Stegostoma tigrinum: one gene and its partners. The protein of the gene in region 2 interacts with the protein of the main gene of each other region in a pairwise test. Links are inferred from orthologs where the notes say so. Each region holds a gene or a part of one and is shown on either strand. Other genes may lie near its edges. The genes, in order: oxysterols receptor LXR-beta-like, ncoa6 and esr2a.

Evidence for each region.
Region 1: the proteins of ncoa6 (region 2) and oxysterols receptor LXR-beta-like interact in a two-hybrid assay, tested with the Homo sapiens proteins (2 studies listed by BioGRID). The link is inferred for Stegostoma tigrinum from reciprocal best matches to the Homo sapiens genes NCOA6 and NR1H2.
Region 3: the proteins of ncoa6 (region 2) and esr2a interact in a two-hybrid assay, tested with the Homo sapiens proteins (3 studies listed by BioGRID). The link is inferred for Stegostoma tigrinum from reciprocal best matches to the Homo sapiens genes NCOA6 and ESR2.

What each region holds. Positions count from the first base shown.
Region 1 is NC_081391.1:16,073,085-16,080,621, forward strand, and holds the start of oxysterols receptor LXR-beta-like, read left to right. Parts: upstream 1-4,472; 5' UTR 4,473-4,589; intron 4,590-7,537. UniProt on the Homo sapiens protein: Nuclear receptor that exhibits a ligand-dependent transcriptional activation activity. Binds preferentially to double-stranded oligonucleotide direct repeats having the consensus half-site sequence 5'-AGGTCA-3' and 4-nt spacing (DR-4).
Region 2 is NC_081372.1:13,070,277-13,077,572, reverse strand, and holds the start of ncoa6 (nuclear receptor coactivator 6), read left to right. Parts: upstream 1-4,217; 5' UTR 4,218-4,338; intron 4,339-7,296. UniProt on the Homo sapiens protein: Nuclear receptor coactivator that directly binds nuclear receptors and stimulates the transcriptional activities in a hormone-dependent fashion. Coactivates expression in an agonist- and AF2-dependent manner.
Region 3 is NC_081363.1:3,531,901-3,539,965, reverse strand, and holds the start of esr2a (estrogen receptor 2a), read left to right. Parts: upstream 1-5,041; 5' UTR 5,042-5,152; coding exon 5,153-5,235; intron 5,236-8,065.

The DNA of each region.
Region 1 (7,537 bases), on a different chromosome or scaffold from region 2:
TTTGTGCTCCTGAGATGCTGCTTGGCCTGCTGTGTTCATCCAGCTACACACTTTGTTATCTTCCAAACTCCCACATGGCTTTTCAAACACACGCCATGGACATGAACTAAACTTGCTCAACAGCCGTGAAGCTTGGGCGGAAAATCCTCTGAAATAAACACACATCTGAAGAAACATCTCCACGTTTTTTCAAGACCCGCAACTTTCCCCACTCAGTGGCCGAGAACACCTTCGACTGTGTCTCCCATATTTCCTGCAACTCGTCCCTCACACCCCCTCCCCGTAATAACAACCAAAACAGAATCCCCCTTGTCCTCACATACCATCCCACCAATTTCCAGATCCAATGTATCATCCTCCGACACTTCCGCCATCTGCAATCCGACCCCACCACCAAAGACGTTTTCCCCTTCCCACCATTATCTGCTTTCTGGAGGGACCACTCTCTCCATGACTCCCTTGTCCGCTCCACACTCCCCTACAGCCCACCACACCTGGCAATTCTCCCTGCAACCGCAGGAAGTGTTACACCTGACCCTACACCTCACCCTCACCCCCATCCCAGGCCCTAAGAAGATCTTCCACATCAAGCAGATGTTCACCTGCACATCTGCTAATGTGGTATACTGTAACCGCTGAACCTGTTGTGGCCTCCTCTACATCGGGGAAACCAGGCGGAGACTTGGGGACCGCTTTGCAGAACACCTCGGCTCGGTTCGCACTAAACAACTGCACCTCCCAGTCGCAAACCATTTGAACTCCCCTTCCCATTCCTCAAATATTATGTCCATCCTGGGCCTCCTGCAGTGCCACAATGATGCCACCGGTAGGTTGCAGAAACAGCAACTCATATTCTCCTTGGGAACCCTGCAGCCCAATGGTATCAATGTGGACTGCACAAGCTTGAAAATCTCCCCTCCCCCACTGCATCCCAAAACCAGCCCAGCTCAACCCCGCTTCCCTAACCTGTCCTTCCTCCCACCTATCCCCTCCTCCCACCTCAAGCCCCACCCCCATCTCCTACCTACTCACCTCATCCCACCCCCTTGACCTGTGTCCGTCCGCCCTGGACTGACCTATCCCCTCCCTAACTCCCCACCTCCACTCACCTTTACTGGCTGCATCCCCGCCTCTTTGACTTGTCTGTCTGCTCTCTCCCATCTTCTCCTCTATCCACCTCCCCATCTCTCCCTATTTATTTCAGAGCCCCCTTCCCCCCCCCATTTTCTGAAGAAACGTCCAGGCCTGAAAAGTCAGCTTTCCTGCTCCTCGGATGCTGCTTGGCCTGCTGTGTTCATCCAGCTCTACACCTTGTTATCTCAGATTCTCCAGCATCTGCAGTTCCCGCTGCCTCTCCACATGCATGTTTCATTCTCCTTTGGAGCACTGGACAAACCTAGATGGAATACGGAGTTAACAAGGTGTGGAGCTGGATGAACACAGCAGGCCAAGCAGCATCAGAGGAGCAGGAAAGCTGACATTTCGGGCCTAACCCTTCTTCAGATGATGCCTCCAAACCAAAGAAATTAGGGATGGGTAACAAATGCTGCTCTTGCCAGCATTCCAAAAAGGCTATGGTTAAAAAAAAAGAACTGCCTTTATTTTCCAAATGTTGCATCAAAAATAGTAACATATTTAATATATTTTTTGCATAAACTCTGACAGCAACATAGTGGAATGTCCCAAATACAGGAGCCATATGATTCAACAGGTAAACAGGTCATCAGGTTGCCATAGTCTTACCAGACCACATGGCTCCTCTTTCTTTTGAGACAGATGACTGGTGGTGATTCAACCTTGGGGCCACCATATCTTAGGTGAGGGGAGAGGTTGAGAAGCAGTGTCCTTCCTGGTGTCCTCAGCTGGTGATGGGAATTGAACCCATAGCTGTTAGTTTCACAAACCAATCCCTGAGAAGTAAGCAGAACGCGTTGGAAATACACTTGCTCAGGCAGCATCTGAGGAGAGAAACAAGATAATGTTTCGTGTTGGTGGCCTTTTGCCAGAACTGGAAAACATTAGCCGTGTAAGACGTCTGAAGTACAAGACAGGGATGTGGTGGAGATAAAGAATGGGATAGTTAAGCAGGCAAATGCGGGAGAAATTAAAGAGCACAAAGGCAGATAACCCAGAGTAAACAGTGGTGGGAATAAGACAAATAAAGATACCAAGAATTGATCTAATTGAGATAAGACAGCAAAATCACTAGCAATGACTGCTGTTTGGAAAACCAGCAATTGTGAAATTATTAAACTTAGTTCCATTAGCGGCTATTCATTCTCCCAGGCTGACCGTTATCCACTCCTTTCTCTGCCCATCTGCTCTGCTCTCTGTTCGTCCTCTATCCCCACCTATCACTTACTCCTTAACCCTCCCCCCACCCTACCATTTGCACAAAATCAACCTTTTCCTAGCTACCATCACTGAAGAGGTCACGCTAAATCTGAAACATTCACTCTGCATAGACCTGCTGAGCTTTTTCAGCGATTTCTGTTTTCGTTAAACTTGGATGTTGAGTACAGAAAGTGCCTGATTCTGAAGTTGTATAAGATATCCAACTGAAGACAATTTACAGGGCTTAGAATGGGAGAACAAAATTCTCCCTCTCTCTTGTTTTGTTCAGGGACAAGCAGTGTTTTCTGAATGGTGCAGACTCAATGGGCCAAAGGCCCTTTGTTTGTGCTATTGATCTGCACAACTCTAAGAGGCAACGGCTCAAGGCATATCCAAATTAATGGGTGACTCAGAGGCTTTCCTTGAGTTTGAACGACTTAAAAATATGCATTGATATGTATCAGGAGTCAATGCTTATTGGGGTCAGTTTGGAAAATGGAGTTGAGGCCACCACCTTGCTGAATGGCAGAACAAACTAGAGGGGCCAAAATGGCCTACTTCTCGTCCTCATTCTTCTATTTGTTTGCATGCATCCATCACCAGCAGAGGTTTGCAATGCAGCTTTGGCAAAATTATTATTAAAGGAGGCAAAAACAGAAAACGTTGGCAAAAGTCATTAGATCTGGGAGCATCTATCAAGAAATAAATGGAGATAATGTTTCCAATGCAATGAGTCATACAGATTTTACAGTATGGAAAGCAACCCTTTGGCCCATCATGTTTATGCCTATCAGTAAGCACCCATCTACTCTAATCACATTTTCCAGCACTACCCATAATAATGATATATGTTTGCAATGACATTTCAAGTGCTCATCTAATTACTTTCTAAATGTGTTACAGGTTTCTTGCCTTTACTACTCTTTAAGATAGAGAGTTCTAGATATCCACTTCATTCTGAGTGAAAGTTTTCCCTCAAATTGCCTCTAAACCTCCTGATCCTTACCTTAAAAGTGTGCCCTTTCAACAAAGCAGAAAAGTTTCTATCTGTGCGCCTGAGAAATTTATACACCTCATGACTATCTCTTAACTATGGACTTTTCTTTCTCTCCACAGATGCTGCCAGACATGCTGAGTTTCTTCAGCACTCAAATGAAACAAAGAACTGTGGATCAAGAACAAAGTTGCTAGAAAAGCTCAGCAGATCTGGCAGCATCTGTGAAGGAGAAAACAGAGTTGGCATTTTGGGTCCGGCGACCCTTCCTCAGAAGGGTCTTTGGTTCTGAGGGTCACTGGACCCAAAACGTTAACTTTGTTTTCTACTTCACAGATGCTGCCAGACCTACTGAACTTTTCTGGCAATTTTGTTTTTGTTCCTGATTCACAGCATCCACAATTCTTTTGGTTTTTATGAATCTGAAACAAACACAAAAAGTGCTGGAGAAACTCAGCAGATCTGGTAGCACCTATGCAGCAAGAAGCAGAGTTAACGTTTTGAGTTCAGTATGACTCCACTCCAGAACTGGAAGGATTCCTGGACTCGAAACGTCAATTCTGTTTCTCTCTCCACACATACTGCCAGACCTGCTGAGTTTCTCCAGCAATTTCTGTTCTTATTTTCAGATTTCCAGCATTGTTTTTATTGTGGCAACAGCATCATTCTCTTTGGTGTGAGAATGCACTGTCATATTGAGCAAAGGGGCTAAGTGCATGCCACTGAAAAGCAATGGCCAGTTATTGGGATAAGCCAGAGGCCGCTACAGGAGAACCATCCACTTCTCCCCCGAACAAAGATGGCGCCCCAATGACGCAACAGTCAGAGGGGCAACACTCAACGGGATTCGATTTTAATATAAATAAAAAAGTTCAGATATTGAATAAATCTTTTTGCCTAGCAAAGCGCCGCCATTGTTTTCAAATCTGGAAAGGAAAAACCTGTAGGAAAGGAATGATATAACGCTGCAGCGGCTTCCGCCGGATGTGGCATCTACGCCGTGCGTCAGACAAGCTTGACGGCGGTGGTGATGGACGTGGAAGTTCACCAATAACACCAAGGAGTGGGCACGCGGTTGTCCAATGATTGTTGGAGATAGGCGGGACCCGCGGGAACGGTCAGGTTAGGTTGCGCCTGGGTTTCCCTGAAGTTGTCAAAGGAGGGGGAGGGGAGAGACAGAGAGAAACTACAGGAGAAAGGGGAAAGTTCCCAGGGGTTGGACGGAAAAATAGTCGCTGTACTTAAAACCCCAGGCAGGCCGGTAAGGACATGGGGATTGTGATATTGATGAGTTCTGGTGTGTGATGATTCCAGTGGAGGGGAGAGCGTTTAGATCTGTTGCTTGTTATTCCTGTTTAAATGCTGCATTATTATTCTGGGTGAGCTGGAGAGGGGGTTGAGTTGAACAGGGGGTTGGAAAGGCCTCCTGCCTGTATCCAGGCCCAGAGTGGACTCTGTCTGTCTACACCACACCTTTCGGGGGAAGGGGGGAGCTTTGAGATCTCAAATTTTCCCTCAAATCACTGGCTGGGCTCAGATCATGCTCATCAGCAGGCTGGCTGTAAAATTGCTTCAAATCACTGTTTTGTGGCAATGATTTGACTGCTGCGTTTGTTTTAAGAAGTTGCTGGATGTTCTTTTTTAAAAAGTAGTTTGAAAACTGATACGTTTTGTTTGAGCCTCTGCCATCACGGTCTCTTTCTGAGTGACTGTTAATCTGACCTTTTGCTGGCTAACTGGCTCGGTGTTTCTATCCTTTCTCAATGTTTGGATGTTGCTTAACTTGCATCGTTAGTTCAAACCCATGACTTGGATTCAAGAAAATGCGGTGAAGGAGAATACTGTGCTGCGTGCTTAAATTTGCGCGAAACATCTTACGAGAGGCAATGATACAGAGCAATCTGCATTCTAAATAGTTCTTGATCTGTTTTCTGTGTCTGGTGTGGTGCATTGTGGTGTAATTTGGACAGACCCTGAGAAAGTAAGATTGAGATTTGCAGAAAAATAAATCACCTTCATGTTTTATTTCTGTGACAGCTAGCACTCTCAGGGTTGTGGTGGGATGTGGGAACGTGCTTGTCACTTGCTGGGACTTAGCAATGCTGTCGTGGAGGAATTTTTAGTGTACCGAAAACACTTCGCCATACAAGGGGGAGAGATGGAGCAGGAGAGCAATTGTCATTGGTCTTTTCTAGTGCCACTTTAGGATTGACACTGGTGGATGTAGAGCAGTTAATTGGTAATCTATCTTGTTTTTCACTTAAGAAAGTGAGTGGCATGATGGATGTGCACACATACTCACCCACTCTTCTAAAAACCAGTCAGTGTAGACTAGCACTGTATGGAGTGGGGAGGGGGATGTGCATGGTGTTTTAAATGAGTGCCGTAATAGCCCTGGGGGCTTGAATTTGTTATGTTTGTACTTGTTTTTTTTGAAATTAAAACCAAAATAACATGAGAATTGTAAATTATTTTCATAATTATGTTGCTTACATGATTTTTGTGCCCACATAGAATCCTTTATGGTGCGTTGCCTTATGACTAAAGATTGAACAGGCTAACCTTCATTTCATTTGACTTCAGGGCAGCAATGATCTGATCAAAGTTTATCAGATTCCTGAATGGTCTTAATAAAGTGAACATGGAAAGGATATTTGCATTTAAGGGGGCATCCAGACCTAGGCGGACTGTTAAAATTAGGGATCGTGCTTTTATGGCCAAGATGAGGGATTTTTTTGGTCTAAAAGGATTTTGTGATTTTTGGAACATTCTTCCTCAGAAGACAGTGGAAGAGGAATCATTGGAATATTTTTAAGGAGCAGGTTGGTTCCCATGCCTAACAAGAATCTAAGATTATCAGAGGTAGATGGGACTATAGAATTCAGAACACAAACAGATGATCTTGATGAATCATGGTGCAAGCTGGAAGGGCTAAATGTTACTGCTCCTGATTTGTCGTTCATTCTAATGTGGCTGCAGAGCATGGATGAATTGTTTGATTTTCTTCTTGTTTGCTGTGCCTAGTCTTTCTCACTTGCCATGTGTCCTTAACTACCTGTTTGAAGGATGCGATGCCACTACTTGAGACTACTTCCCAGGTTGTTCTTTCTTGCGCATTTTAGTCCCTGTCTGTGGTAGATAGACCACATTTCCTGAGGCTTGCCTTCAAGCAGTCCATGAACCTTCATCTTGGCAGACCTCACAAATGTATCTGAGTTGAAGCTGTGAATACATGACGGTGTTGGGGATTTAACATCAGTCATACATTTTGCATGTCTGCTATATCAGAGCTGGGGTTTGATGAGTGCTCCAATTTCAGGGATTCCCACTCTTTGAAATACTATTGCGTTGGGTACTTCTTAAAAATTTATTTGTGAAACCTGACCCTTGCTACCTAGGCCAGCATTAACTGCCCACCCTCAATTGCCTAGAGAGCAGTTAAGAGTCAACCACATTGCTGTGAGTCTGGAGTCCTGTGTAGGCTGTACAGTGTAATGACAGCAGATTACCTTCCCTAAAGGAGGACATCAGGGAACCAGATGGGTTTTTACAACAATGGATTGTTTTTAATTCCGTATTTTACTTGCTGCTATGGTGAGACTTGAACCCACCTCCCTAGAACATTAGCCTGGGGTTCTGAATTACTGACCCAACCACATTATCAAAGTACCACCACCTCATTTTGTCCTTCCATTGATGCCCATGATGTTCCAAATACATCTCGTTCAATTGCTTAATATGTCTAGTGTAGGTTGTCTAGGTCCATGTTTTTGCATCGTGAAGTTAACAATATAAAGCAGGAAGCTTGACTAATCCACCACCCTCCTGCTCTTAAGAAGAGTGGTTGTTCTGTTCTGTTGCTACTTTGATTCACATGAGCTGAGCAGAGATCAAATCTCAAACTGTCCTGCTGTATATGTCTCAGTGCCACTCCACAGCACAACAGAGAATATAATTCCCCCTGCTTTTCTTCCAAATACTGTTGTGGGATCTTGCACATACACCTGAGAAAGAGAATGGGTTATAGTTTAATGTCTCCTCCTTAGCAGCCCCTCGGTACTGTGCTGGACCTTCAGCTTTGATTCCTAGAAAGTGTACTTGTTGGAATGTTGGGCACAACTGAATTGGGCTGTTGTCTGTTGCCACCCATTGTCCAATTATATGCATGCAATCCAGGCCAACTTGGGAAGGACCATCACTCGGAGAGTT
Region 2 (7,296 bases):
GCTGGGTCCAAGCACTGATACTTACAACACCCCATAAATCACTGTCTGCCACTTGGCAAACAAACAATTTACTCCTAGATAACAGAGTGTGGAGCTGGAGGAACAGGCCAGGTAGCGTCAGAGGACCCTATTGGAAAATTTCTGAAGGTTCCCTACCTGAAATGTCAACTTTCCTGTTCCTCTGATGTTGCCTAGCTTGCTGTGTTCCTCCAGCTCCACATTTTGTGGTGTCTCATTTAAGTATGCTTTTAGTTTCATCTACCGTATTCACTATTTACATGGTTCCTACACTGGGGACACCAAATGGAGATTTGGTGACCAATTCATGGAACACCTGTAAGGGCCACCTTGAGTTTCTAGTGATCTGTCATTTGACATCTGGCTCCCACACTAACATCTCTGCACCTTGCTAGCTGCAGTGTTCCTGTGAAGCTAAACACAACCTTGAGGAACAGTGTTTCACTTTGAACTCAGCTTTCCAAACTCATTACTGGGTTCAGACTATATAATGTCTGTTCCATTTCATTTTCTTTGCTTGTTTCATTTTCTTTTCAGTCAGCATCGTATCTATTCTAGGCACTTTTTTATTTCTTTGTTTCTTTTCTTGACCCATCACCAATTTCTTTGGCAATGTAAGGCTAGTGCTTCAGTCTTTCAAACTCTTCTGTCACAAAACTTTGTTGTTTTTGTCCCGCCCAGCCCTTGCTGAAAGCTTATTACATCTTTAATTTCTCCTAGTTTGGATCAGAGTCACAGACCTGAAATGTTTATTCCACTTCTCTCCACAAATGCTCTCACAAACTGCTCGGTATTTCCACCACTTCCTGCTTTTATTTCTACTTACAAACAGACAGCTATAATTAGGCAATTCTGTAGAATAATCTACATCATTAAGCAGAAGATTGGTATGGAGTAGTGAAGGTTAAAAAAAAGCTGGGGTGTCTTTTTAAGGAGGGTTGAAGGCATGTCCTTGATGAGTAAGTGAGAAATTGGGCCAAATACCCAGAATCACAGAATTCCTTCAGCATAGAAGGAGACTATTCAGTCCACTGTATCTTTGGTCATTTTAACTAACTGCCATTTTCCAGCCTTCTCCCCTCAACCATGAAGTCTTCCTTTTCAGGCAACAGGCTAATTCTCTTTTGAAAATACTGTCATGGACCAGACCAGACCTCCTCAAAATATATTAAGAAGGTAGCCTAGACTCCAATTGTTTTTTTTATTTTAAAGGTAACTGTTGTAACTATGTTCCAGATGCAATTTGATTGGTCAAGCTACTTAACATTAAGCAAAACACAACTTATTAAAACACTACAGTCAAAACACAAAAACTTATGATAACCTAATTCTATTGGAAAACGTAACACAATAATAAATACCATAAATAAGACTAATTAACTGTTCCAATTTGTTAACATCTCATAAACACACCCTTAGCAAAAAGGCAAATTCAGAAAACAGACTATTTCACATGCAGTTCTCTAATCTATGACGAAAGAACATCAAAAGACAGTTCCGAAAATGTAGTAGCCAGGAGGGATTAACTGCCTTCCTCTACCGCTGAGACCCCAGCAACAACTGCTGAAATCTAACTAAAAATCCTGGATCTGTGAGAGCTTGATCACACCCATACATGCTGCATGATTGTTATGACTTTAAAAAAATTCCCCAAGGCTTCACAAGTTGTTTGTCTTCTCACAGACTGCTCATTACTTTTCCCCAGTCTCGTTTTAAAACACCAAAACACATCTCTTAAAGCCACAGAATGTGCCTCCATCACAGTCTCAGGCAGTGTATTCCAAATCCAAACCACTGCCTTGATAACAAAGTGTAGAGCTGGATGAACACAGCAGGCCAAACAGCATCTTAGGAGCAGAAAAGTTTTCTGCTCCTAAGATGCTGTTTGGCCGGCTGTGTTCATCCAGCTCTCCACTTTGTTATCTCAGATTCTTAAGCATCTGCAGTTCCTATTACCCACCCCCACCCCCAAACCACTGCCTTGCTTCCTTTGTCAATTACTTTAAGTCTGCACCCTTTCATTCTTGATTCTTTCACAAGTGGGTGCAGTTACTCCCTGTCTACTCTGTTCAGAGCCCTCACAACCTTGAACATGTCAGGTCTCCTTTCAGCTTCCTCCCTGACAAGGAAAACAGGCTGAACATCCCAAAGTAATTCTCAGAAAGTCATAGCACAACATTTCCTACTCCAACTCCATTGATTAAGATTAACAGTGGGATGCTGTGAACGTGGATCATTCTCCATAACTTGGGAACTCATTGTCTTCTTGAGGCACTAACAGTGAAATTCATCATTGCCTCCAATATAATTGTTTGGTTCTTCAGCTAAGTGAAAAGAAGAATATGAGAACCAGGTTACTCAAATCTGAGACTGAAGTCAGGGACTACTAGAAAGCAGTGCTCCCTGTATAAGTTGAATTTTCTGACTCCAGGTGGGTTGAGAGGTGACACACCTCTCAAACAGGTCCAACTTGGACCCATGCCACCTGGCTCAGAGTTAGGAACATTACCACTAGACTATAAGAACCATTACTTATATTTTTGAACAGAGGTCTCATATAGTAAAGTTGATCTTTTGCTGCACCTTCTCTTTAGCTGTAATACTATATTCAGCATTTTGTTCTATTACCTTGACTTAGTTATATTAGGTATAATTTGCCTGGAGAGCACACAAAACCATACTTTTCACAAAACAACAAATGCTGGAGATCACAGTGGGTCAGGGAACATCCATGCAGAGAGGGCAAGCTAACTTTTCAAGTTTAGATGAGTCTTTTTCAGATTCACTGTGTCTCGATATGCGACAGTAATAAATCAACTCAAACTATTCAGAGATGTCATGACATAACTATCGAGCAGGTAGGGCAATGAGCCCAAGCCTTAGGGTCATTACCACTGCACAAAAGAACTACTATTTAATTTTGTTTTTCTGATGTCATTACACAATTGCGGAGCAGGTGAGATTTGAACTAACCTAGGCCTTCTTGCTCAAAGATAGGGACATTACCAGTGCACCACAAAGACCCTTTCCAGGGAAGCAGAAAGCTGACAATGAACTGCAGACGGACAAAGAAAAACGGAGAAAATGGCTTCGCCGGCAGTTCCGGGCGAAGCGCATGCGCGGTTATTCCCATGGTGACTAAGACGCGCAAGCGCAGCCCTCTCCCGGACCATTCCTGTCACAGAGATAATAGGTGGTAATGGGAGCTGCAGAATCTGAGATAGCAAAGTGTGAATCTGGATGAACACAGCAGGCCAAGCAGCATCTCAGGAGCACAAAAGCTGACGTTTCGGGCCTAGACCCTTCATCAGAGAGGGGGATGGGGTGAGGGAACTGGAATAAATAGGGAGAGAGGGGGAGGCGGACCGAAGATGGAGAGTAAAGAAGATAGGTGGAGAGAGTATAGGTGGGGAGGTAGGGAGGGGATAGGTCAGTCCAGGGAAGACGGACAGGTCAAGGAGGTGGGATGAGGTTAGTAGGTAGGAGATGGAGGTGCGGCTTGGGGTGGGAGGAAGGGATGGCTGAGAGGAAGAACAGGTTAGGGAGGCAGAGACAGGCTGGGCTGGTTATGCTGCTTGGCCTGCTGTGTTCATCCTGCTCCACACTTTGTTATTACTGTCACGTATTGAGATACAGCGAATACGATGAAGAGTCATCTAGACTTGAAACGTTAGCTTGCACTCTCTCCATAGATGTTCCCTGACCCACTGTGATCTCCAGCATATGTTGTTTTCAGCGAAACGCATTGTTTTGTGTGCTATCCAGGCAAATTAAACCTTAAATAACTAAATCAAGGCAATATAACAAAATACTGAATATAGTACTAGATTTCTGAAGAAGGGTCTAGGCCCGAAACGTCAGCCTTCCTGCTCCTCTGATGCTGCTTGGCCTGCTGTGTTCATCCAGCCCCGCACCTCATTATCTTGAAACAGAACAGTTTGCGCGATACCTCCAGTGGGTGGAGTTTTCTCAGCCGCCGGGGCGGCTCCTGACGTCACCACGCTGCCGGCCCTGAGCATTGATTGGCTGGCGCGCCGACCAATGGAACAGCACCTTACTGAAGCCCGATCACGCCTCCGTCGAGGGGAGTCCAATGGGAGCGCGGCTGTTTGGGGGGGGTCGGCTAGTGGGTAGTTCTCTGTGGATGCTGGTCGCTGTGTTGACGGGTCTTGGATGGGGGGGGGGATGGGAGGGGGAGGAGGGAGCCGATCGCAAATTCTATTCAGCATCAACCTGTGAAATTTATGGCTGTGTGAAACTAAGGTTCCAGCAGTGATCACAGGGATGAGAGCGACTGGGTCAGCAGCTTGACTGAGGCCGGTAAGTTTGTGACAGAGACCGGGGCCCTGCCAGCCTCGGACGACTCTTGGGGGCAGAGCAAGCTTGGCATCAATCCCGGGCCCGGTGCCACTCTTAAACACCCCCCCACCCCGTCATTCATTGTGCCGCAGTGTTTCGAGCTTTGCCTTCCCTCTCCGCCTCAATGTACGGTGTTGGGTTGATACCCAAACCTCCCAGTTCGCTTAGTCGATTAATTTAAACACAAACCAGCTATCCATATGTTTTTAAGAATAGTTCACTCTCGGCGCGCCTGAGATCGATCTGTCAGTTCGTATCACAGTGTTTCCTCCCAATTGTCACATTCCCTTGTTCGGTGTTAAACACTGTTGTGGTCTGTTTAATTTCTCATAATAATCTAGAACGCGACCTTCTGACCTATTATGCCTCTGCTGCTTCTTTGAAACAAAATCTGCAATAAGTCCTTAAGCCTCGTCTCTTTTGTCATTACTCCTGCCAAGTTGCACTTTTCAGACATTTATCCAGTTCCCTTTTAAAAAATACCTTTGAATAGGCTTCCACCACCCATTTGAGCAGAGTTCGAATGTCACTTTTCCTTACTTCTTGTCTGATAGTGATTATGATCAAGTTGTTTTGTTCTGTTTGAAGAATGCGATGATGCAAATTTTCCTGTCATGTTAAATACAGTTGAATTTTACTTCAATAAATCCTGTATTGCATTTTTTGTTGAATTCAATAGTAAAAGCACATAAAACTGTAGTAAGGGCAAGGTTCTTTCTGATGTTTGTCTATACAGTTGCAGAAACGGGGCTACATTATCATTAGTTAAATACGTTGTTACAGAAGCAATGTGTAGTACAATCAATGTGTTTTTTTTAATATTAACTGATGTAATTCTGTATTTCATCTTCAAATTATTTATCCTCATTAAAGACGTTCCCTAATTTTTTCCTTAAGTTTTGAAACTACTAACATTGGGTAACTTGATCAATTTCTTACTTGTTATGAATGTGAGTACCAGTTAAATCCTTAATGATAAATGTTCTGTTTTTGATCTGTGAATTAGTGTGTTTCTGTTGGTTTGGATTTAAACCTATAGGAAAGAATTTGAATGTGATGGATATGTATCTGTAGCGACTTCCAGAAACTTGCTTCAAGGGTGAAATAAATAATTTTACTAAGAGCAAAGACAAAGTTGCTGGAAAAGCTCAGCAGGTCTGGCAGCATCTGTGAAGGAAAAAAAAAGTGTGAATGTTTCAGGTCCAGTGACCCTTCCTCAGAACTGGTTTCATTAAGTTATACGAACTTGTTTGATTTTTAAATTGTACATTGAAGTTTTTGTGTAGGTGGCTCAATTATTGCAGTGCATGAGATCCATTTAAACAGCTTTTCTGTGTGGAATGATGAGTAGAAACCAGCTGTAGAGCATGTAATAACTTACTGTCTTTTTTTAGCTAACATGACAAGGTGTAGAGCTGAATGAACACAGCAGGCCAAGCAGCATCAAAGGAGCAGGAAAGTTGACGTTTCGGGCCGAGACCCTTCTTCAGAAGACCCTAGACCCTTTTCTGAAGAAGGGTTTAGGCCCGAAATGCCAGCTTTCCTGCTCCTATGATGCTACTTGGCCCGCTTTGTTTGTCCAGCTGCACACCTTATTATCTCAGATTCTCCAGCATCTGCAGTTCCTACTGTCTGTCTTTTTTAGCTTACTGTTTTTACAAGGCATACACTTTCACATGAACTTGTTTGTCAAGTATTGGATGTAGATCTCTCAAGTTGATATTTTAAATAATTCTTATTGGTAAAATTAATTTTTCTGTGACACGTTAGCTGAGAAGTGTGTTGGTGTGCGAAAAGGCCCTTTTTATTGGTGTTGATTTTTACTTTTACTTTGACACTGACTCAATACATACAGCTTATACCTTGCACTGGTCACTACATTTTTGTGTGGTTGATACCTTTTAAAGACAGTTGGTAGGTAACAAGTTTTTCTGTACCTCAAGCAGAAGTTTTTCTTAAAATTTCTTTCATGTTGTGATTTCTTCTGCCTTATTAATTGTGCTAATGCAGATATTGCAGCTATATTCATCAGTAACGAATGGCACATGAATGTAGACTAAATTGCAACAAGACAAAGTCCTTCATGTTGTCTTGGTCCACACTGGCCTGCAGGGACATAGGTCCTTCCATTGATACAGTGAGCTGCTGCATTGAAATTATAGTGAACAGAAGCATACTTAATTGATGGGTTGTCACTGGTGCTGAATATTTCTGTGTACACCTCAGAGTTTTGTAATTACACATTTGTAGTCCTAGATCTTGATATTTTGTATTTTCAGAATGTTATACACAGTACTTAATTCTATTTTGTTTAACGGCACATCCAGGCAAATCAAGCTTTTTGTGATCCATGTTACTGTGGACATTAGGTAGGGGGAAGATCTTGAAATTTTAAGACTATTGATCTTAATATGCATGATGCACAAAGTTGGCATATAGGCTGCAAATTAATTTTTAAGTACTTAATAATTTATGCATTAACATGCAAAGGTTGCGAAAAAAACAGAATGATGTTCTGAAGTGGCGTCATGCTGGACTCAGTGTTAACTCTGTTTCCCTCTCCACAGCTGCTGCCAGACCTCCTGAGTTTCTCCAGTATTCTTCATGTGTTGTTTCAGATTTACAGCATCCTCAGTATTTTGCTTTTACATAAAAGTTGCATCTTTACAGGCTTGTTTCACAAATGTCTTTGAGAAATATTGTTAAGTTTAGTTAATAAAATGTGAGGCTGGATGAACACAGCAGGCCCAGCAGCATCTCAGGAGCACAAAAGCTGACATTTCGGGCCTAGGCCCTTCATCAGAGAGGGGGATGGGGTGTGGGTTCTGGAATAAATAGGGAGAGAGGGGGAGGCGGACCGAAGATGGAGAGAAAAGAAGATAGGTGGAGAGGAGAGTATAGGTGGGGAGGTAGAAGGGG
Region 3 (8,065 bases), on a different chromosome or scaffold from region 2:
ACCTTCCATCCATTGGCTCCATCTATCCCTCCCACTGCTTCCCGAAGGCAGCAAACACCATCACAGTCCCCTCCCACCTCAGTTACAGTCTTTTCCAACCTTTTCCATCAGGCGGAAGATACAAAAGCTTAGACACACACACCAACAGGGTCGAGAACAGCATCTTCCCTGCTGTTATTAGGCTGCTGAACGGACCTCTCTAATTTTGAACTTAATGTTGACCTCACTCCCTGTGCACCTTCTCTGCAGCTGTAACAGTGTACTCATTGCTCCATTCCATTACCCTAACGCACTTTGTATGGTGTGACCTGCCTGGACTGCACGCAAAACAAAACTTTTCACTGTACCTGGGTACATGTGACAATAATAAATCATATCAAATCAAACCTTCATACTCTTCTGTTTTAGGGAATTCCACAGGCTCACCACCCTCCAACTGAAGACAATTTTCCTCATTTTTCAGTTTGAAATAGTCTTCGCTGTATCTTGAAACTGTAACCTCTGCTTTCCCCAACCAGAGGAAGTTTCCTCCTGCATCTAGTCTGTGAACTCTATGAGATACTCTTCCATCCTTCTAATCTCGAACGATTCTGTGATTGGGCGATATTTGCCAGATATTCCTGAGTGAGCAAAAAAGCTGCGCAGGCAGTCACTTAATGATGGTCAGTCAGGCTCACAGTATGATACATAGGAACAAATTGGAAGCTCCACACATTAATACAAAGGGCCATAAGACCATAAGACACAGGACCAGAAATTAGGCCATTCAGCCCATCAAGTCTGCTCTGCCATTCAATCGTGGCTGATATATTTCTCAACTCCATTCTCCTGCTTTCTCCCCATAACTCCTGATCCCCTTGACAATCAAGAACCCATCTATCTCTGTCTTAAATATACTCGATGTTTCCTACAGGCTGATTCCATGCACACAATGTAACAGTTAACAGTCAGTCATCATATCACAGGTGCATTGTGTAAGGCAACATCTTTAGCAGCCTGAAGAAGCTCTGAAGAAGAATCAGATTGGACTCTATGTTAACTCTGCATTCTCTCCACAGACGCTACTGATTTTTAGTAGCACTTTATTTTTATTCCTGATTTCCAAAATCTGTGCCTTATATTCTATTTTTCTTTCCCAATCTGGGCCACTTGCCATCCTCACAACTCCCCTCTTGCAGTATAAATGTCAGTTTCCCTTCACTTTGGTATTCTTGCAAATTGTCCTGAATGGTACAAGATGGAAAGTTTTTTCTATGCAAAAATGCGCCTTTTCTTTTCTGCAACGCTCATGCAAGTCTCTGTCTTTCCAATAATATTCCCTGACTACCGTCTCAGCTAGCCTGCTTTTGAGATTAAGGTTATGTTCCCTTGTTGCAGACTCCCCTTCTTATCTTGTTATGAGTTTGGATCAGAGATTTAGTTTTAACTGGGGTCTCTGCCTCTGTCAGATGGAAACTGTTCTGCTCTTTTGGCTGGGATTTACAGGAGATGTTTCAAGAGGCCAATGACAATATTTAGCTTCTTGGCTTAGTATGTCCAGCAATCATCATTTGAAGCCATCAGTTATCAGGATTTGATGAAGGAGTGTTTTGTAGGGACCCTCTGTCAGACTCAGAGTCAGTCAGAAAGAAAACAAGTTAGTATATTATCCCAACCAGCCTGCAGTTTAACGACTCTGTGCAGATAACAATCTGGAAAGAATCTAGATTCATTTTTATAATTAAAGGCAGATTAGTGAGATGCTTTGAAGTCAATTTTAAGACTTGAAATTAATTTGGGAATTGAGATTAGATCAGGAACAGCAGGACCAATATGTGAACGTTTTGGAAAAATGTTCACATCTAGCGGTAACAAATCAATCTGTGAGATTGCTGGTTGATGCAGTGACTCCTTTCAGAAGGATTGGAGTTTGAAGATTGGTTCAGATAGAGAGCATCTGAGGACAACAGCACAGCTCCTTTCATCCTGAGAGCCTGCTTTTACCATTCCACACGAGCTGGAGGCCACTCAGCCCCTTGACAATGTCTAGGACATTTCCACATAGCCCAGTGGCTGTTGTTCCCATCCTGGATGCAGAAGGTTGTGGGGTCGTCCCAGGTCTAGAGACTTAGCAGAAATGCAATATCGGTATTTACTGAGGGAGTGCTGCACTGTCTTGGCCACTGTGCTTAGGCATCACTCTCACTATGGCCCTGAATCATTATCCAAATTAACCCCTCTGCCCCATTCTCTTCCTCTGGCCCATCAGTCACCAAACTAATCCCACTGCCCGCTCACTCCCTGTAGCCCTGTATCAATCCCAAACTAATCCTTCGATCAGATCTCCCTCCAATTCTCTCTCTCCCAACGGGAACATCAGTTTCTCCAGAACAAATCTGGAGTTAAACTTCTCCGATCCCTGGAACCAAACTTGCTTCCCTACACTGTCCCGAAGGATCCTGCTCCCTTCGCGTAGTGTGGTGCCTTGACTGGGCTCAAGGCCCTGGTTGTGGCCTAACTGCAGCTTTACGGGGCAAGAACAAAAATGACTGGAGAAACACAGCAGGTCTGGCACCATCTGTGGACAGAGAGGGAGAGAGAGACAGAGATAATACATCGATTCTAGTTACCTTACAATTGAACTGACTGTAGCTGGGTAGGGATGGTATATATGTCTGAAAGAGCATCATTTTGTTTTCTGCTTGAGGACCCCACAGGTTTTAGGGCTCAATATTGAGAACAATAATGTTTGGGCCTGGGAACCTCCTTTCTACATCCTTTCTTCAGCCTCTGCCATGATTCTGGCTGATTTCCACACAGCTAACCATTTTCACCCACTAATGGCTCTTATTATCAGACTTATTCTGTCTCCCTGACTTACTATTACCCACTGATTTGTCTGCAAACTCACTCCCAATGGGTCCATCTTCACCTACTGCACACTCCTTTACCTCCCCTACCCCTTTATCCCCCTCCCAACCCCTGTCTTCAGCATAAATACCACCTTTTCCTAGCTACCATCAGGTATGAAGAAGGGTCACTACACCTGAAATGTTTACTCTGCTTCCTCTCCGCAGGTGCTGCCAGACCTGCTGAGTTAGGGCAGCGGTTAGCACTGCAGCCTCTCAGCACCAGGGACCCAGGTTCGATTCCAGCCTCGGGTGACTGTCTGTGCGGAGTTTGCACATTCTCCCTGTGTCTGCGTGGGTTTCCTCCGGGTGCTCTGGTTTCCTCCCACAGTCCAAAGATGTGCAGGGTAGGGTGGATTGGCCATGCAAAACTGTCCCATAGATTCCAGGCATGTGCAGGCTAGGTGGGTTTGCCTTGGGAAGTGCAGAGTTACAGGGATGGTGTGGGTCTTGTTAGGATGCTCTTCAGAAGGATAGTGGTGACTGGATGGACCAAATGGCCTGCTTCCACACTGTCAGGATTTTAGGAATTTTTCCAGCAGTTTCTGTTTCAGATTATTTTTTAATATACATCTGTGGGAGGGCTGGGTCAGTACTAATTGCCTGTCCTTAATTGCCCCTTGAGAAGATTGTGGTGAGCTCCAGTTCTTTGTTTTATTTCAGCTTCATGAATGCTCAGCACAACTTCTGTGTTTTCTCGAACCCTCCATTGATGAGTCTGTGTGCTTTATAATCCAATTGTCTCCTTCCGTCCGGTCGCTCTCATAGTCAACCCCAGACCCCCAAGTCATCAACAACTCCTTATAGCCCAGCAATTAAAGTCTACGTCTCACACCTCACCACCCCCATCTCTTCTGTCTCACACCTCACAGCTCTCAGAGAACAATGACCATGCTAAATGAGGCTGTTCGACCCACCATTCTTGTGTTGGTCCTATTCCCTTCTGCCAATCTCCTGCTTTCTCCCATAATCCCTGGGACACCATTCTTACCCAAACCCTCTCAATGATCCTGCCTCCACTACATTTCCAGGCGGTGTATTTTTAAAGTCTTAGTGAAATGTAGCTCGGGTTGTTATTTCAATTGTTCATTTCTTTGCTGATCTGGTTGTTCCATGGTGTGCAAACATTTTCTTACCCTACGAGGCAACATCATCACTGCAATCTCTGATTATCAGGCAGTGCATTCCATATCCTAACTACTCACTGGCTGAAAAAAAACTTTTCCCATCTCCTCATCCTTACAGCATCTGCATGTCGATCCTCACGAGTTGCTAGCCTGCTCTGAAGCTAGTTCCTAGAATCCAAACATTGTGGAATCAGGCCATTCAGCACATCGAGTCCACACTTACCCTCTGTAGAGCATTCCACCCAGAGTTACATCCCCACCCTTTGGCAACCCTGCATTCAGCACGGTCAATCCACCCTAACCTGCACATCTTGGACTGTGGGGGGAAACCGGAGCACCCAGAGGAAACCCATGCAGACACGGCGGGTGCAGCTGAATGAACACAGCAGGATCCTAAGATGCTGCTTGGCCTGCTGTGTTCATCCAGCTCCGCACCTTGTTACCTCGGATTCTCCAGCGTCTGCAGTTCCTATTATCTCAGACATGGGGTGGGGGGGAATTGTGCAAACTCCACACCAACAGTTGCTCAAGGGTGGAATCAAACCTGGGTCCCTGGCACTGTGAGACAGCAGCGATAACCCCTGAGCCACCCAAATTGGTATAGTTGGCATGCTGCTCAGTCTTTCTCACTCCTGCTAGTTCTAAACTCTGCATTGCTATAACCACGGGATGCAGGTACGGGGAATGATGGGGCTGGTTGGCCATGGATTTATAAAAAAAAGAGGACATTGACGGTTCAGTAGTTGAAATAGATGTGAAGACATAAGAATGTCTGGCCTAGACCCGCTGGTGGAATAGCAGAACACCCTCCCATCTCCCCACTGTGTCCATGTACTTTGGTGAGAGTCAGAGGGAGGAGGGGATTTGCAGGAGGAGTTGGAGGGAGGGGGTGTTGGAATGGTGCTGACTGACAACTGCAGATGGCGCTGCCTTCCCAGGGCAGTAAGTGGGAGTGAGAACACTGGCAGCTGAGCAGCGCTTCCCACCAATAGCTCTGTGTGTGTGTGTGTGAGAGAGAGACAGCGCAGCTGCATTCCTCAGCCTCCCTATTCCCTCCCCAGCTCCAGGGAGCAGCTTTGAGCTGGGGCTGCACAGAGACGCAGAGGCGGGGAGGGAGGCAGCAGCTGGAGACTGTGGATGCTGGAGGCCAACAGCGAGGTACCTGAGTTTGACACAACTTTCAGCAGGACCATGGACCGGGAGGAGCTGCTGAAGAGACGGTGAGCATCTGAGAGCAGCCTGCCCTGTGTACACACTCTCTCTCTGGGTACCCTCTCTCCTTGGGTCTCCCTTTTATCCCCTGTCTATCCCTCCCTCCCTTCTCCCCCAACTCTTCCCTCCCTTCTCCCCCAACTCTTCCCTCCTACCCCATCCTATTTCACATTCTCCTCGCTCCTGTCTCTTTCCCCACTCTCACCTCTCTCTCTCTCTCTCTCTCTTTACAACTAACTCCCGACACTTGTTTTTCATTGAGCTGTGATTTTTTTTTCTGAAACGCAGCAATCCTGTTAAAATATCCTGTCCGGGGAAATGTTTTCTTTTAAACGCCCACGTCCTCTCGCGGGCGACTTCAGATCCCTCCGTGAATTTCAGACTTCATGTGCTGCCCCGGACCCCCAGCATCCTGGGGTGTGGGGGCGGGAGAGAGAAGGTACTGCCCAGTGACAGGGGGCACGGGGGCTTACTCAGAAATTCCCAGCTGTGTTGTGTTTCATTCAGGGACTGAGCTGGACACTCGTGTTCACACTCAGAGGGTTTCGGTCCCCTCCGAATCCGGACTTTGATGTGGTGCCAGGTCTCACTGCACCCCTGAGAGGGCAGCCAGGGGCTATTGCCAGAGAGCGCACTCTCCCAGGCTCCACTGTGAGTGCTGACTAGCTATTTGGCCACATCAGGCATCACAGCAGAATGGGATCCTCACACTTGCCTCCCGTCCACACCCCCCCTCCTCTCTCATTTACTCACTCATTCTCCGCCTCTTTCTCTCTCTCACTCATTCATTCATCTCTCTCGCTCTACCTCTGCTTCACGTCTCTGTCACCACCCACTCCTCCCCTCTCTCTCACTCCCCTCTCCACTCTTTCTCGCCCTCTCTCCTTTTCCCCCCCTCTCACTCCCCCCCCCCCCCCCGTCTCCCTTATTCAGAGTTGGGATTGAAATTGATCATGGACTGGAGTGTAATAATTCCCCAATTTGCCCCAGTTTAGGGCCTTAGCAGTAGCCTAGGGGTAAAAGTCAGCAGGTCACAAATGCCTGAGCCACCCCATTCCCCCCCCCCCAACACTGGGCATTGCCCCCAGGCTGCTGGGGGAACTGGGACCGCACATAAGTTGGGATCACGTTTATTGGAAAATGTACTTCCGGCACCAACACTGATCATCTGCATCCCCAGCCAGACCACCCCTACAAATGTGCCTGAAGGGTTCTACATCCTGAGACAGCCTGGTCAGTGCCTGTGTGTAATCACCTGTCCAGGTGAGGCACATGAAAGCCAGTCTCAGTGAACAAACTGTAAACATTATCCCTGTGTGAAGGTGGCTTTGGTTCAGTGCTCACTGATTGAGAACCTGGTGTTGGCTTTGTAAATATCATCTGGAAGCCTTGGAAATGGTGTGTGTGAATGTGTGTGTGAGAGTGAGTGTGTCTGTCTATGTGTGTCTCTGTAGTGTGTGTGTGCGCGCATCTGTCTGTGTATGTGTCTGTGTGTGTGTGTGTGTGTGTGGGTGTGTCTGTAGCGTGTGTGTGTGTGTGTGTGTGTGTGTGTGTGTGTGTGTGTGTGTGTGTGTGTGTCTGTAGTGTGAGTGTGAGTGTGTTCCCTTATTCCTCCAGGTGGTGGTATTACTTAGTTTTTGAGAGAGACGTAGCTTATTGCAACAGATTGCTGAGTCTCCGTTAACCCTGCATCCTTCCAGTGCTGTTAGAGCATTCCACACTCAGTCACCGGTTAAAATATTGTTACAAATCCAGCCACAGCCCATGTTCAAGCAAAAAGCTTCACTCAGGTTGGAATCTTTGCTTTAGAGAAAACTCTCACACTTTCTTTTCTCTGTCTACGATATACCACGGACAGTGAACGTGCCCCCCTGCCCTATTCTCCTCTCTGGCCATCTCTCCTGCTGTTGTATTCACAATAGGGGCCTGTTCTCAACTGATCTGCTTAAGTGTCAGTAGGACAGAGGTAGGAATTGCATTTCAATATCATCCTTCTCATCCTCAAGATGTCCTCAAGTATTTCGCAGGTGGTATCTTTTTAAAGTGTGGTCACTGTTGAAAACATTGGTCAAGCAATTTGCACGCAGTGAGCCCCCATAATATGTCCTGTGATAATAATCAGAATATCTGCTTCAAAAACATAGAGAGATGGTCTCAGTGTTTTTGAAATGAAACATTGGTCAGGACACTGGAGAGAGCTCCCCTTTGCTTCTTAAATTGTGACTGTGGAATATTTTGCATCGACCAGAATCGGCTTGGACCTCAGTTCAATGTCTTGTAGAACAGAGCACCTCTGAGAGTGAAGCAGTCCCTCAGTACTGCACCAGAGGGTTGGACTGATTTTTCAGATTGAGACGTAGATAGAATTTTAGAATTAACAGCAATGCATCGCTTACCTGTTGGACCATCTCTTTTAAGACCCTACGATTGAGGCATCTGGATCCAGAGACTTGTCAGATGCCAGCTTCTTCATTTCGCTCAGTCCCACTTCCCCAGTGATTGTAATCTCACTGAGCTCCTCACTCCTGATTTACTGCTGTTACTGAGATGGCTTTCATCCTCTACAGCGGAAACTATCTGTTCATTTCGTCCACTATTTCCTTACTGTCTGCTATTAAATACCAATTCTCCTACTCTAGAGGTATTTAATCTTTTCCATTTTAAATACTCTCTTCCACTTTTAAACACTCCGAGCTAGCTTTGTCTCATAGTCTAATTTACTTTTACTCTGGATTAATATTTCAATCATATTCTGCTTTCTTTATACTCAGACTAATTATCCGACTTGCCACTTAACTTTGAACAGTCATGTGCCTTTTCCTTCAGTTTGATGCTTTC